3 linked regions of the Elephas maximus indicus genome follow. The protein of the gene in region 1 interacts with the protein of each later gene in a pairwise test. Links are inferred from orthologs where the notes say so. Each region holds a gene or a part of one and is shown in the gene's direction. Other genes may lie near its edges.

Evidence for each region.
Region 2: the proteins of TCHP (region 1) and keratin, type I cytoskeletal 16 interact in binary tests that used the Homo sapiens proteins (3 or more experiments, as listed by UniProt). The link is inferred for Elephas maximus indicus from reciprocal best matches to the Homo sapiens genes TCHP and KRT16.
Region 3: the proteins of TCHP (region 1) and DYDC1 interact in binary tests that used the Homo sapiens proteins (3 or more experiments, as listed by UniProt). The two-hybrid records come from large-scale screens. The link is inferred for Elephas maximus indicus from reciprocal best matches to the Homo sapiens genes TCHP and DYDC1.

The regions. Positions count from the first base shown.
Region 1 is NC_064840.1:20,432,660-20,436,406, forward strand, and holds the start of TCHP (trichoplein keratin filament-binding protein), read left to right. Parts: upstream 1-1,078; 5' UTR 1,079-1,205; intron 1,206-2,051; coding exon 2,052-2,239; intron 2,240-3,747. UniProt on the Homo sapiens protein: Tumor suppressor which has the ability to inhibit cell growth and be pro-apoptotic during cell stress. Inhibits cell growth in bladder and prostate cancer cells by a down-regulation of HSPB1 by inhibiting its phosphorylation.
Region 2 is NC_064837.1:48,668,389-48,672,135, reverse strand, and holds the start of keratin, type I cytoskeletal 16, read left to right. Parts: upstream 1-1,105; coding exon 1,106-1,624; intron 1,625-2,105; coding exon 2,106-2,188; intron 2,189-2,281; coding exon 2,282-2,438; intron 2,439-2,552; coding exon 2,553-2,714; intron 2,715-2,806; coding exon 2,807-2,932; intron 2,933-3,263; coding exon 3,264-3,484; coding exon of another isoform or gene 3,485-3,488; intron 3,489-3,591; coding exon 3,592-3,638; intron 3,639-3,747. UniProt on the Homo sapiens protein: Epidermis-specific type I keratin that plays a key role in skin. Acts as a regulator of innate immunity in response to skin barrier breach: required for some inflammatory checkpoint for the skin barrier maintenance.
Region 3 is NC_064826.1:131,933,385-131,937,131, forward strand, and holds the start of DYDC1 (DPY30 domain-containing protein 1), read left to right. Parts: upstream 1-1,344; 5' UTR 1,345-1,430; intron 1,431-3,747. Other genes in the region: DYDC2 (DPY30 domain-containing protein 2), read right to left, coding at 757-833. UniProt on the Homo sapiens protein: Functions as part of axonemal radial spoke complexes that play an important part in the motility of sperm and cilia. Plays a crucial role during acrosome biogenesis.

The DNA.
Region 1 (3,747 bases):
GTTCCTAAGGCTGTAAACTTTATAGAAGCAGACTGCCACATCTTTCTGCTTCGGAGCAAGCGGCTGGTGGGTTCCAACCGCTGATCTTTCCCTTAGCAGCTGAGTGATGGTGGCTACAAGCTCCTAGAGAAACAGATGGGAGACTCACAACTTCAGGGGGCTGGGTGTCAATCCTGCCTCCTGTCCTTGCTGTGTGACCTCAAGAGAGTTGCTTCACTTCTCTGAGCCTCAGTTTCCTCATCTGCAAAGTGAAGGCAACAAGGGAGGCTTCAGCAAGGTAATAAATGTTAAAAACATCTGGCACATGGCAGGTGTTCAAGAAATGTGAGTTGCTTTGCTTCTTGCTTTCTTTCATCGTTCCCTTTTTTTTTGGATAATGGGGAGAAGGGACTCAAAGTTGGGGATCTACTCATTGGTTTTTAACAATAGAAGGTTACCAGTACCCTACATCTATTTACATCGGTAGTCTCTGCCTTGGTTGCACACCAAACGCACCTAGGCAGCTTGGAAAAACTGATGCCCGGGATCCACCCCCCCGAGTGATTTGTCTGGGGTTTAGTCTGGGGATCGGGATTTCTTAGAGCTCTCCAGGTCATTCTCATGTACAGTCAGGCGGCTTATATTCTTTTCCTCTATCCTATCCCCGTGATTTCCTACCACCCTTACCTTCATCCCCCTAGGTTACCGTGTACTGAACGGATTCTTTTCCTCCATCGTTCCTTATTTTAAGGACTAGTGATCTTTAGGAGCCCAGGTGGTGCAGTGGTTAAGCACTTGGCTGCTAACCGAAAGGCTGCCACCAGCCGCTCTGCGAGAGAAGGGTGTGGCCGCCTGCTTCCATAAAGATGATAGCCTTGGAAACCCTATGGGCAGCTCTACTCTGCCATATAGGGTGGCTATGAGTCGGAATCCACCCCACGGCGATGGGTTTGGTTTTGGGCTTTCTGAAAAGCGACAATTGCTCTTGATCGCCCGCCCAACACTAGGAGGCGCCAGAGAAAACAGACGCCTTTCTTTCTTCCGCGCGCTCAGTATCGCGCTGGAGGCGGCTTGGCCCTCGCGACGCTCCGTCGCCAGGCCCGTTGCCGGGACAACGAACTTTGAAACGGCTGGCGTCAGTGCCGCGCGGCCTGCGGGGAGATTGTCCGGCTTGTGGGACCTTGGCCTGGGTGGGTCGCTTGGGAAACTCCAGGACCCAGAGAAATGTGAGTCGGGAGGCTAGCTTCGTCCGGGAGCCAGCGTGGGGCCCAGGACAGGGTCCCGGCCGCTGTCGGCCCGCAGTGGCGGGAGCGCGGGTTGGTCTGGGGACACGAGGACAGGGCGCCCGGATTCCCGTCCTCACTCTGCTCCGACACTTGCCGCTGTCATCCCGCTTGTCAGATGTGGATGTTGAGGCTCAGTGTCTCCATCTGTGAGATTAGGGATTTGCCCTCCATGATGGCCCAGAGCACTTTCAGCTGCAGCACCTGGTCTGGGGACTGCCAGGGCATTTTGGTTCCAACACACAGCCTGTCACAGTTGACAGAGCCTGGAATCTGGACTCAGACCAACGTGAATTAGAACCGCATCTCTTTTATTTCCTCCATTTCCTGGCTGAGTGTTCCCGGACAAGTCATGTCACCTCTTTAAACTTAAGTTTTCTTATCTACCAAATAACAGAGGTGGTCATAGGGATGAGACTGCTCCTAAGATGTTCCTTAAATGATTGTCACTGTTACTTTATGCAGGGTATAAACCTCCCCAAGGAGTGGTTCTCTGTCTCTGTCTTCAGTGCCCCCGATAATGCCTGGCCCACAGCCAGTGCAGCCCACATTTATTTAAGTCAGCGATTTGCAGTGCTGATAGCAAATCAATTTTAAAATGCCGTTGCCTGGGCGTCACTCTTAAGATTTTCTGATTTAATTGGTCTACTATTTTTTTGAAAGCTCCACCAGGCGATTCCAATGTGCAGCCAGGGGCGAGAGCCATTGATTAGAGGGATGAGGCCGAGCTCGGGAGGGTTCCTGGGGTTTGCAGTTGGCTCACTTTCCTGCCATCGCTGTTCTCCTCAGATGGCACTGCCCACACTGCCCTCCTCCTGGTGCAGCCGGCGGCTCCTAAGTCAGCAGTTGGCACGGCAGCGAGAGCAGGCGGACTGGCTTCGGCAGCAGTGGGATCAGAACCGTCGCTACTTTCAACTGTCTGACATCTGCAGCTCCAAACAGGCAGAGTGGAGCTCCAAGACCTCCTACCAGCGGAGGTAATTGCACAGTGACTGCCAGTTAGATGGAGGTGGGGCCTGCTTGCTGGTCACGGGATGTGGTGTTAAGGGCCCTGGGAATGTGGCTTGGCTTGACATCATGCCTTCTAGAGGGATTTGCTAACAGCAGGGATTGCCTGCATGGTGGTGATGGTTTTTCCAACTAAGAAAGATAAAAGATGCTTAGCTTCATTAGCCTTCAGAGATATGCACATCAAAACCACAATGAGATACCATTTAATTCCCACTAGGATGGCTTAGATTAAAAAAAAAAAATCAGAAAATAATGTATGTTGATGAGGATGTGGGAAAATTGGAGCCCTTATCCATTGCTATTGGAATGCAAAATGGTATAGCCATTGTGGAAAACAGTGTGGCAGTTCCTCAAAAAACTAAAAATGGAACTACCATATGACCCAACAATTCCTAGGTATATACCCAAAAGACTTGAAAGCAGAGACTCAAAAAGAGACATGTACACCAATTTTCATTGCAGCACTATTCACAATAGCCAAAAGGCAGAAATAACCTAAATGCCCATTGACAGATGAATGGATAAACAAAATGTGGTACATACATACAATAAAATACTACTCAGCCAGTTGGAGAAATGAAGTCCTGATACATGCTATAATATGGACGGAGCTTGAAGACATTATGCTGAGCGAAATAAGCTCACAAAAGGACACATATTGTATGACCTCACTTATATATAAAAAGACAAGGAAAGGCACACATATAGAGATCAAAATTTATTAGTTTTTACCAGGGGTGTGAGGAAGAGTGGAAAGGGGGGAGGTTAATGGTGAGGGAAAAATCACATTGATTAAGGGCACAGTTGCACAGCCGATTATTGTAATTGCTGTCAATGAGTTGTACACCTGTAAAAAGTTGAATTGGCAAAAGTGGTATAATAGATATGTTAACAACAACAACAACAAAAAGCTGCTTATGTGCAGCCAGACACCTTACGGGATTTGGTTCCTTGGTTAGGAGGTTTATGGTCATAGTTTCATGGGACACTCCAGTTAATTGGCCTAAGAACGTGTTTAGTGCTTCTGTTCTACCTCCTAGTTCGTTGTGTAGTGCCTGGGGTCTTAAAAGCTTACAAGTGGCCATCCAAGGCACAACAATTGGTCTCTAGTCACCTGTAACAACAGCAGAAGGAGAGTCAGGAACAGGAGGAAGATATGGAATGTGGGCTAATAGCTTCCATGAACAACTGCCTCATTTGCTGTGAGACCAGAAGAACTAGATGGTACCTGGCTGCCATTACTAAATATTTTGAACAAAGATTCCATAGAAGAATGCTGATCAGAATTTCAAATTCTCATGGACTGTAGACTTTCTGGAGCCATGGAAGGTAGACAAACTCCTGAAACTGTTGCCCTGAGATAATCTTTAAACCCTAACCAAAAATATCCCCTGAAGTCATCTTAAAACCAAACGATAGTTTAGCTTAACTAGTAAAAAAGACCAGCCTTGACATTATGCTTTTTTAAGAACTA
Region 2 (3,747 bases), on another chromosome or scaffold:
CAGGGCCTGCGTGGGGGTATGAAAGGGAGGTGACAGAGTGCAGCGGAGGGGGGTGTGAGGAGGCAAGTGAGGGGCCAATCAGCTGGAAAGGAGGGATGGGGAGGCTGAGGGGCAGGGCTGGCCATGGGGGAGGGAGGGCCTACTGTTGAACCCTGTACAGCCTGGGCCTTTCATGTACATTCCTATGTGGCTGGTGGTGTGTCCTCCCCTTTTACAGATGAGAAAACTGAAGCCCAGAGGGGCTAAGCTGTGCAGTTCGTAAGGGGCAGAGGAGGGATTTAAGTTATCACCTGTCTTGATCCAAAGTGCATGCTGTTTCCAGGGTACATTCTACTTTTGGCAATCCTGGGGGCTCAAAGGTAGCCCCCGAAAGTGGGGTTGAATCCAGCAGGGGAAAGAGAGTCATAGGATTTCTAGAACCAGAACTAAAAGGACTCTGAGATCACCTGGTCCAGCCTGGTCACTTTACTGAGGGGAAACAGAGGCCCAGAGAGGGGAGGCAGGGACCTCAGATCACACAGCGAGCAGAGCAGAACCAGGCCTAGAGCCCAGCTCCTGCCTTGCGTGCCTAGAGCTGGGCTTGTAGGATGCCCACAGCCGTATCTGGAGACAGCCCTGGGATGGCACTGCTGAGGCCTCCCTCAGCCAAGGCCATCACAGTGGGGCAGAGAGTCCTTTCGATAGCTGGCTCATTGCCAGGGGACGCAGCCACTGCAAAGCTGCCTGTGCCGAGGCCCTGCTGGCCCCATGGGCTCCAGGAACCAAAGCTGGGAGTCTCAGCCACCCAGCCTGAGTCACTACCGACTTGGCATTTGTGTGTTCTTCTCTCAGTCCCACGCCCCCTGGAGCTGGGTGTGAACCCTAAGCTAGCAGACAGCGAAGTGAGTAGACCCCAGGCTTAACAATCCGGAGAGGGGAGTTGGACGAGCCTGGAGTGATGAAATCTGGAGGAGAACCTACAGTCAGCAGTCATGGGGGCCCCGCCTTTCCCAGACAGCATATAAAGTTTCCAGCAAATCAAGGCAGCCACAGCATCCTCTCTCAGCCTTCCTGAGCACCTCCCGGGCATTCTACACGCTCTCTCCTTCATCTCCTTCTCGGCACCATGACTACCTGCAGCCGCCAGTTCACCTCCTCCAGCTCCCTGAAGGGCTCCTGTGGCATCGGCGGCGGCTCCGGCCGCATCTCCTCTGTCCTGACTGCAGGCTCCTGCCGGGCCCCCAGTGCCTATGGGGGTCTGTCAGTCACCTCCTCCCGCTTCTCTTCTGGGGGAGCCTGCGGAATAGGGGGTGGCTATGGCGGTGGCTTCAGCAGCAGCAGCTTTGGTGGGGCTCTGGGTAGTGGCTTTGGTGGAGGATACGGTGGTGGTCTTGGTGCTGGCTTTGGTGGTGGCTTTGGTGCTGGGTTCATTGCTGGTGATGGCGGCCTCCTCTCTGGCAATGAGAAGATCACCATGCAGAACCTCAATGACCGCCTGGCCTCCTACCTGGACAAGGTGCGTGCCCTGGAGGAGGCCAATGCTGACCTGGAGATAAAGATCCGTGACTGGTACCAGAAGCAGCGGCCCACTGAGATCAAAGACTACAGCCCCTACTTCCAGACCATCGAGGACCTGAGGAACAAGGTGAGTGGGCCAGGTGGCTGGCCCTGGTGCACAAAGCATTGAGAGAGGCCAGGGCTGCAGTGGCCCTTAGGAAACTGACTCCTAGCATCTCTGCTTTACAAACAGGGAAACTGAAGCCCAACTTGGGGGGTGGCCAAGGGTCACCAAGAATTGGTGGCAGATGGCTCCTTTTCAGCATCTATGTGTCTGAACTGGGGCTGGAACCTGGAATCTCTTATTCCCTTGGAGGGTTCTTTGCATGGCACACTCAGTTTCCCTCAACCTCAGGCCCAGGATGAGGGTGGAGGGAGATGTGGGGTGTATCACCTACACATCCTGAGATGGGTGAAGAAGGTACCCCAGGGTGGCTGGGTGAGTGTAAGGCCTCCCAGCCAGGCCACCCCCAGATTTGGGGAGGTTCCTTTCCTCCCCCTCTGCCATTTGCCCTCCAAGACTGAGGTCCTTGACTGACCAGGCCTCCTGTCCCTCCATTCCCACCCAGATCATCAGGGCCACCATTGAGAATGCCCAGCCTATTCTGCAGATCGATAACGCCAGGCTGGCAGCTGATGACTTCAGGACCAAGTGAGCAGTTACTGTGGTGGACTGAGGGCAGGGGCAACGAATGGGGCCGTCCGCTCAGGGCTGGAGCCTGATGCTCTGACCTCTGCCCCTTAGGTACGAGCATGAGCTGGCACTGCGCCAGAGTGTAGAAGCCGACATCAACGGCCTGCGCAGGGTGCTGGATGAGCTGACCCTGGCCAGAACTGACCTGGAGATGCAGATTGAGAGCCTGAAGGAGGAGCTGGTCTTTATGAGGAAGAACCACGAGGAGGTGAGGCCCCTGCTGGCGTTGGGGGTGGGAGGCTGGCTTAGTGGGATTGCTAGATCTACCTGGGGCCAGGACAGGGGCCTGCTGAGCTGACCGACTCTTGCCATCCCTCCCTAGGAGATGCTTATCCTGCGGGGTCAGACTGGCGGGGATGTCAACGTGGAGATGGACGCAGCTCCCGGTGTGGACCTGAGTCGCATCCTGAACGAGATGCGTGACCAGTATGAGCAAATCGCGGAGAAGAACCGCAGAGACGCTGAGGCCTGGTTCCTGAGCAAGGTGGGACTCGGATCCTCAGCTCTCCTGTGGGACCTTGCAGCTGGGGAGACCTCTGAGCATCTGAAAGCTCTTACCCTTCTTTCCTGTCTCAGACTGAGGAGCTGAACAGAGAAGTGGCCTCTAACAGCGAACTGGTGCAGAGCAGCCGAACCGAAGTGACTGAGCTCCGGAGGGTGTTGCAAGGCCTGGAGATCGAGCTGCAGTCCCAGCTCAGCATGGTATGGAAGACCCAGCCCTGCCCTATCCCCCAGGTCATCAGTAATGGCCAGTACCCTCTCAACACCACAATACACTCCTATTCCTCTCTTCCTTTTCTTTTTTTTGTCTCATTGTCCTGCTCAGGAGTGGGACAGGAGGGATCATTGTATCCATTTTACAGATGGGGAAGCTCATGCCCAGAATGATGGAATAACTTTGCTCCCTGTTGACTTGCCCGTCAGTAGCCCACCTGGGTTCAAACTCCACACACGTCTCAGGAAACATGTCCAGAGACCTGGAGAGACAGACAAACACCTCCGTTGACTCTCTGTTTCTCACTCCCACTCGCAGAAAGCGTCCCTGGAGAACAGTCTGGAGGAGACCAAAGGCCGCTACTGCATGCAGCTGGCCCAGATCCAGGACATGATCAGCAGCGTGGAGGAGCAGCTGGCACAGCTGCGCTGCGAGATGGAACAACAGAACCAGGAATACCAGATCCTGCTGGATGTGAAGACACGCCTGGAGCAGGAGATTGCCACCTACCGCCGCCTGCTGGAGGGCGAGGATGCCCAGTGAGTGGGGATCCAGTCCTGCCCCACAGACCCTCCACCCCCCCTACTCCACCCCCACCCCTGCTTCTGCCAGCACATCTAACTGCTCTGCCTTTTCTCCCCCACAGCCTCTTCTCCCAGCAAACGACTGGCCAGTCCTATTCTTCCCGCGAGGGTAAGACTCCTGGGCATTCCAGCCCCTCTGCCTGTTTGCATGGGATGGGTGCCAGGTCCCTCTCCCCAGAGCCCCGAGCCCTCCCTTAGCTCCTAGGACCCAGTTCACC
Region 3 (3,747 bases), on another chromosome or scaffold:
AACAAAAGGTTCTAGGGGGTCATCAGGCCTCAGAGGAAATACATTGATGGTTAGGGATGGCTACAGGCCTCCACTTACACACTTACACCCTTGGGTTAGGGAGCCGTGGTTTTGTGACACTGGAACCCACAGTCACCTATGACCTAGATCCAAACCCGAACCCACTGCCCTTGAGTCAATTCTGACTCACAGTAACCCTACGGGGCTGAGTAGAACTGCCCCATAGGGTTTCCAAGAGTGTAAATCTTTATGGAAGTAGACTGTCATATCTTTTTCCTGCAGAGAAGCTGGTGGGCTTGAGCCACTGACCTTTAAGTTTGCAGCTGAGTGCTTTAACCACTGCACCACCAGGGCTCCTATGACACAGATAAAACCCACAGATACAAAGGCTTATTTATTTCACAAGAAGCCTAGGGCAGGAGGAGGCAAACTAACAGGCCCTGCAGCTACTGCTGGTCAAGGGCGCTGCCACACCTAATACTATACTCCACTTTCTACTACTTAAGCAGAAAACTACTTTATTTACTTTTGATTTACTTGCCCTTTGATTTACTTTTAATCAGATTTCGAGAGCTGGAGGTAATGTAGCCTGGGTCATACTGGCTTCCAACCAGTTCGTTCAGGCCCCAGGTATACGATTCAGAATCCACATTTTAACAAGATCCCCTGGTGATTCTTATGTATAATAAGCTTTGAGAACCACAGCTCTACTAGTGGCTCTTAGAACTGGCCCCTAACCAGCAGCTTTAGCATCACCTGGGAACTTGTAAAGAATGCAAACTCTCAGCAGGGGTTCCGTCCCAACCAATAGGTTCAAAGACCTGTAACACCATACGTTTACGAGGCAGTATACGGTGGCAGTATGAACGTAGACTGTGGAACCAGACCAAGTTCCAGTCCTGGTTCTCCTGTGATCTTCAGCAAGTCAGTTTATCTGAGCTCCCGCTTCCTCATCTGTAAAAGAGAAATAACAAATGTACCTCAAAAATTGAGAGGATCAAAAGAGATAATACATGGTGACTAGTACATAAAATCAAACCAGTTGCCGTGGAGTTGACTACCTGGAGAAAGCACTTACCCTAAGCAGGCGCCCCTCCCTGCTTCTCCCGGAGCCCACCAACCCTTCCTCTCCCAGAATCCCTCAGCTCACTTCCTCTGCTCCTCCGACGCTCCTCACAGTGTCTATGCCGCATCCCTCCACCCCGCGCGCGCTCGCGTGCGCACCGCCTCCTCTTTATGTCGTGCTCCTCGCCCTTTCGCGCGCTCCTGGGCTCACCCACCCGCGCGCTTCTCCTCTCTGTGGCGCGCTCCCTTTGGCTTCTGGGGTGCGCGAGTTTGCTGCCTAGCGACGGGACGCGGATAGCCGGCAGGAGTTCGGCGCGTGCGTGCGGCGTGCGCATCGAGAACGCAGGCGCAGTGGTCCGAGAAAGGTTCGTCCCACTTTCCTTGGGTCGCAGCGGGCAGAGGCGGTTCTGACAGACGTTGCTAGGAGCCTAGGGCTAAGGGGGCGCCCAAAGGCCATGTGAGGGTTAGCTCCGCACCTGGGGTCCCGTTTGCCAGCTGCTCTTCCTCCTCCTCCTCTTCCTCCCTCGTCCTCGGGGAGCGCGCCTTGTGTAGGGATTTGCCAGATAAAACACCGGACGCCCAATTAAATTTGAACTTCAGATAGACAACGAAAAACATTTCAGTACCCTGGTGGCGCAGTGATTAAGAGCTCGGCTGCTAACCAAAAGGTCGACAGTTGGAATGCACCAGCCACTCTTTGGAAACCCTGTGGGGCAGCTCTACTCTGTGCTATAGGGTAGCTATGAGTCGGAATTCGACTGGACGGAAATGGATATAGTGTAATACAAAATTATTCGCTGTTTAGCTGACATTCAAATTTCACTGGGTGTCCTGTATTTTTATTTGCTTAATCTGGCAGCCCTACCTGGATCTGTCTCCCTGGTTTGGGCGAGGCATCTCAGTCTGTCTCTTGTGGCACCTTCTCCAGATTTGAGGCGGCTGTTTCTGTGGGAAGGGGCTTTCTTCTTTTGATCCAAGATGCTGCCTATTGGTGTATATGAAAAATAGCATTCCTTTCAACAACTCTGTGAAATGGGTACTATCACCATTTCGTGGACAGGGAACAGATGCCAAGTGAGGTGACGAGCCCCGCCCAAGTCCCACTGATGATGGGCTGCAGCACACCGTGGACCCGTTCCTACTCTTAATCTCCCGCATTAGGGACCCTGCCCCCTTCCCGCGTGTTTTATTTTTGAGGAGCAGCGGCAGGAGGCCCTTCCCTCTTTTATGTTACTCCACTTCAAATGAAGTTGAGATATCTTTGTAGTTTCTTCTGTTTTTAGAGAAGTACAGTGAAGATACTGTGTTCCAAAGTCAGCTGTAATCTTTTCCCTGTGTGGTTAGGACACCAGTGCCAACCTGATGGGGAGTTAGGTTCATTTGTACCAGTTTGCTTTTGGTCTGTAGAGTTTTTAATTTTTACACACACGGCATTCCTTTCTCACTGCTGTTGCTAATACAAAGGATGGCATGCTATATATACTTGCTGCACCTTGCTTTGTTAATGTCCTGAATGTCCCTCCCTGTTTTAGAGGTCTTCCTCATTCTTTTACATCTGCATAGTAATTGATGGTGTTGCTGTGTATCATCGATCTCCTGTTGATGAATAATTGAGTAGTTTCCCAGTCTTTGGCTATTCTAAGCAGTGGTGCAAAATAACCTCGTGCATATGTCGTTTCGTATTTTTACAGGTGTATCTTTGAGCTAGGATCTTTGAGCTAGGATCCCAGAGTGAGATTGTGGGGTCGCAGAGAAGACATGTGTAGAGTCTGCCAAATTCCCCCCATACCATTTTGCACTCCCATCAGCATTGCATGAGAGAAGAGCAGTATTGGGGGTCTATGCATAGATCTCAGGATGTCAGTGTTTCTGAGATCTTAATATAAAATGTCAGGTGCATTGGACTAGGAGCAGGATGTGGACAGCCTGGCACTCTGTCCCCATGCCTGTACACTAACTCCTATACCACGCCTTTTCTCTTACCTGGAAGGCTCTGCCTTCTCTTTGCTGTGTTGACCGCATGCTCACTCCTATACCAGCGCCTTTTCCCATACCTGGAAGGCTGTTGCTTCTCCTTGCTGGGATGACTTTTACTGTTCCTTCAAATCTTAGTTTGAACATCACCCCTCAGGAAAGCTCTCCTTGACTTTTCCAACTGGGTCAAATCCTCCTGTTATCTGGTTTGCATAGTACTCATGACAATTTCAATTTTACATTCATTTATTGATGTTAATATTTGATTAATGTTTGTCTTCCCTACTCACCTGTAAGCTCCATGAGGGCAGAGACTGTGTTTTGTATTCCCAGCATCTGTCAAGGTGCCTCAGTTTGTATTTGTTGAATACAAACACACACAAAAAAGCCATTGCTGTCAAGTTGATTCTGACCCATGATAACCCTATGTGGTGCAGAGTAGAATTGCTCCATAGGGTTTTCTTGGCTGTAGTGTTTATGGAAGCAGATCACCAGGCCTTTCTTCTGTGGTGCCACTGGGTGGGTTTGAACTGCCAACCTTTTGATTAGTAGCTGAGTGCAAACCATTTGTGCCACCCAGGGACCATATTGTTGATAGGCATTCAGTATATATTTGTTGAATAATGAACACATTTCATCAGCTTTTTCGAGGAGTCTAAATTCCATAAAAGGGCATGACCAGCAGAGATGCAGGGTGTTCAGGACATG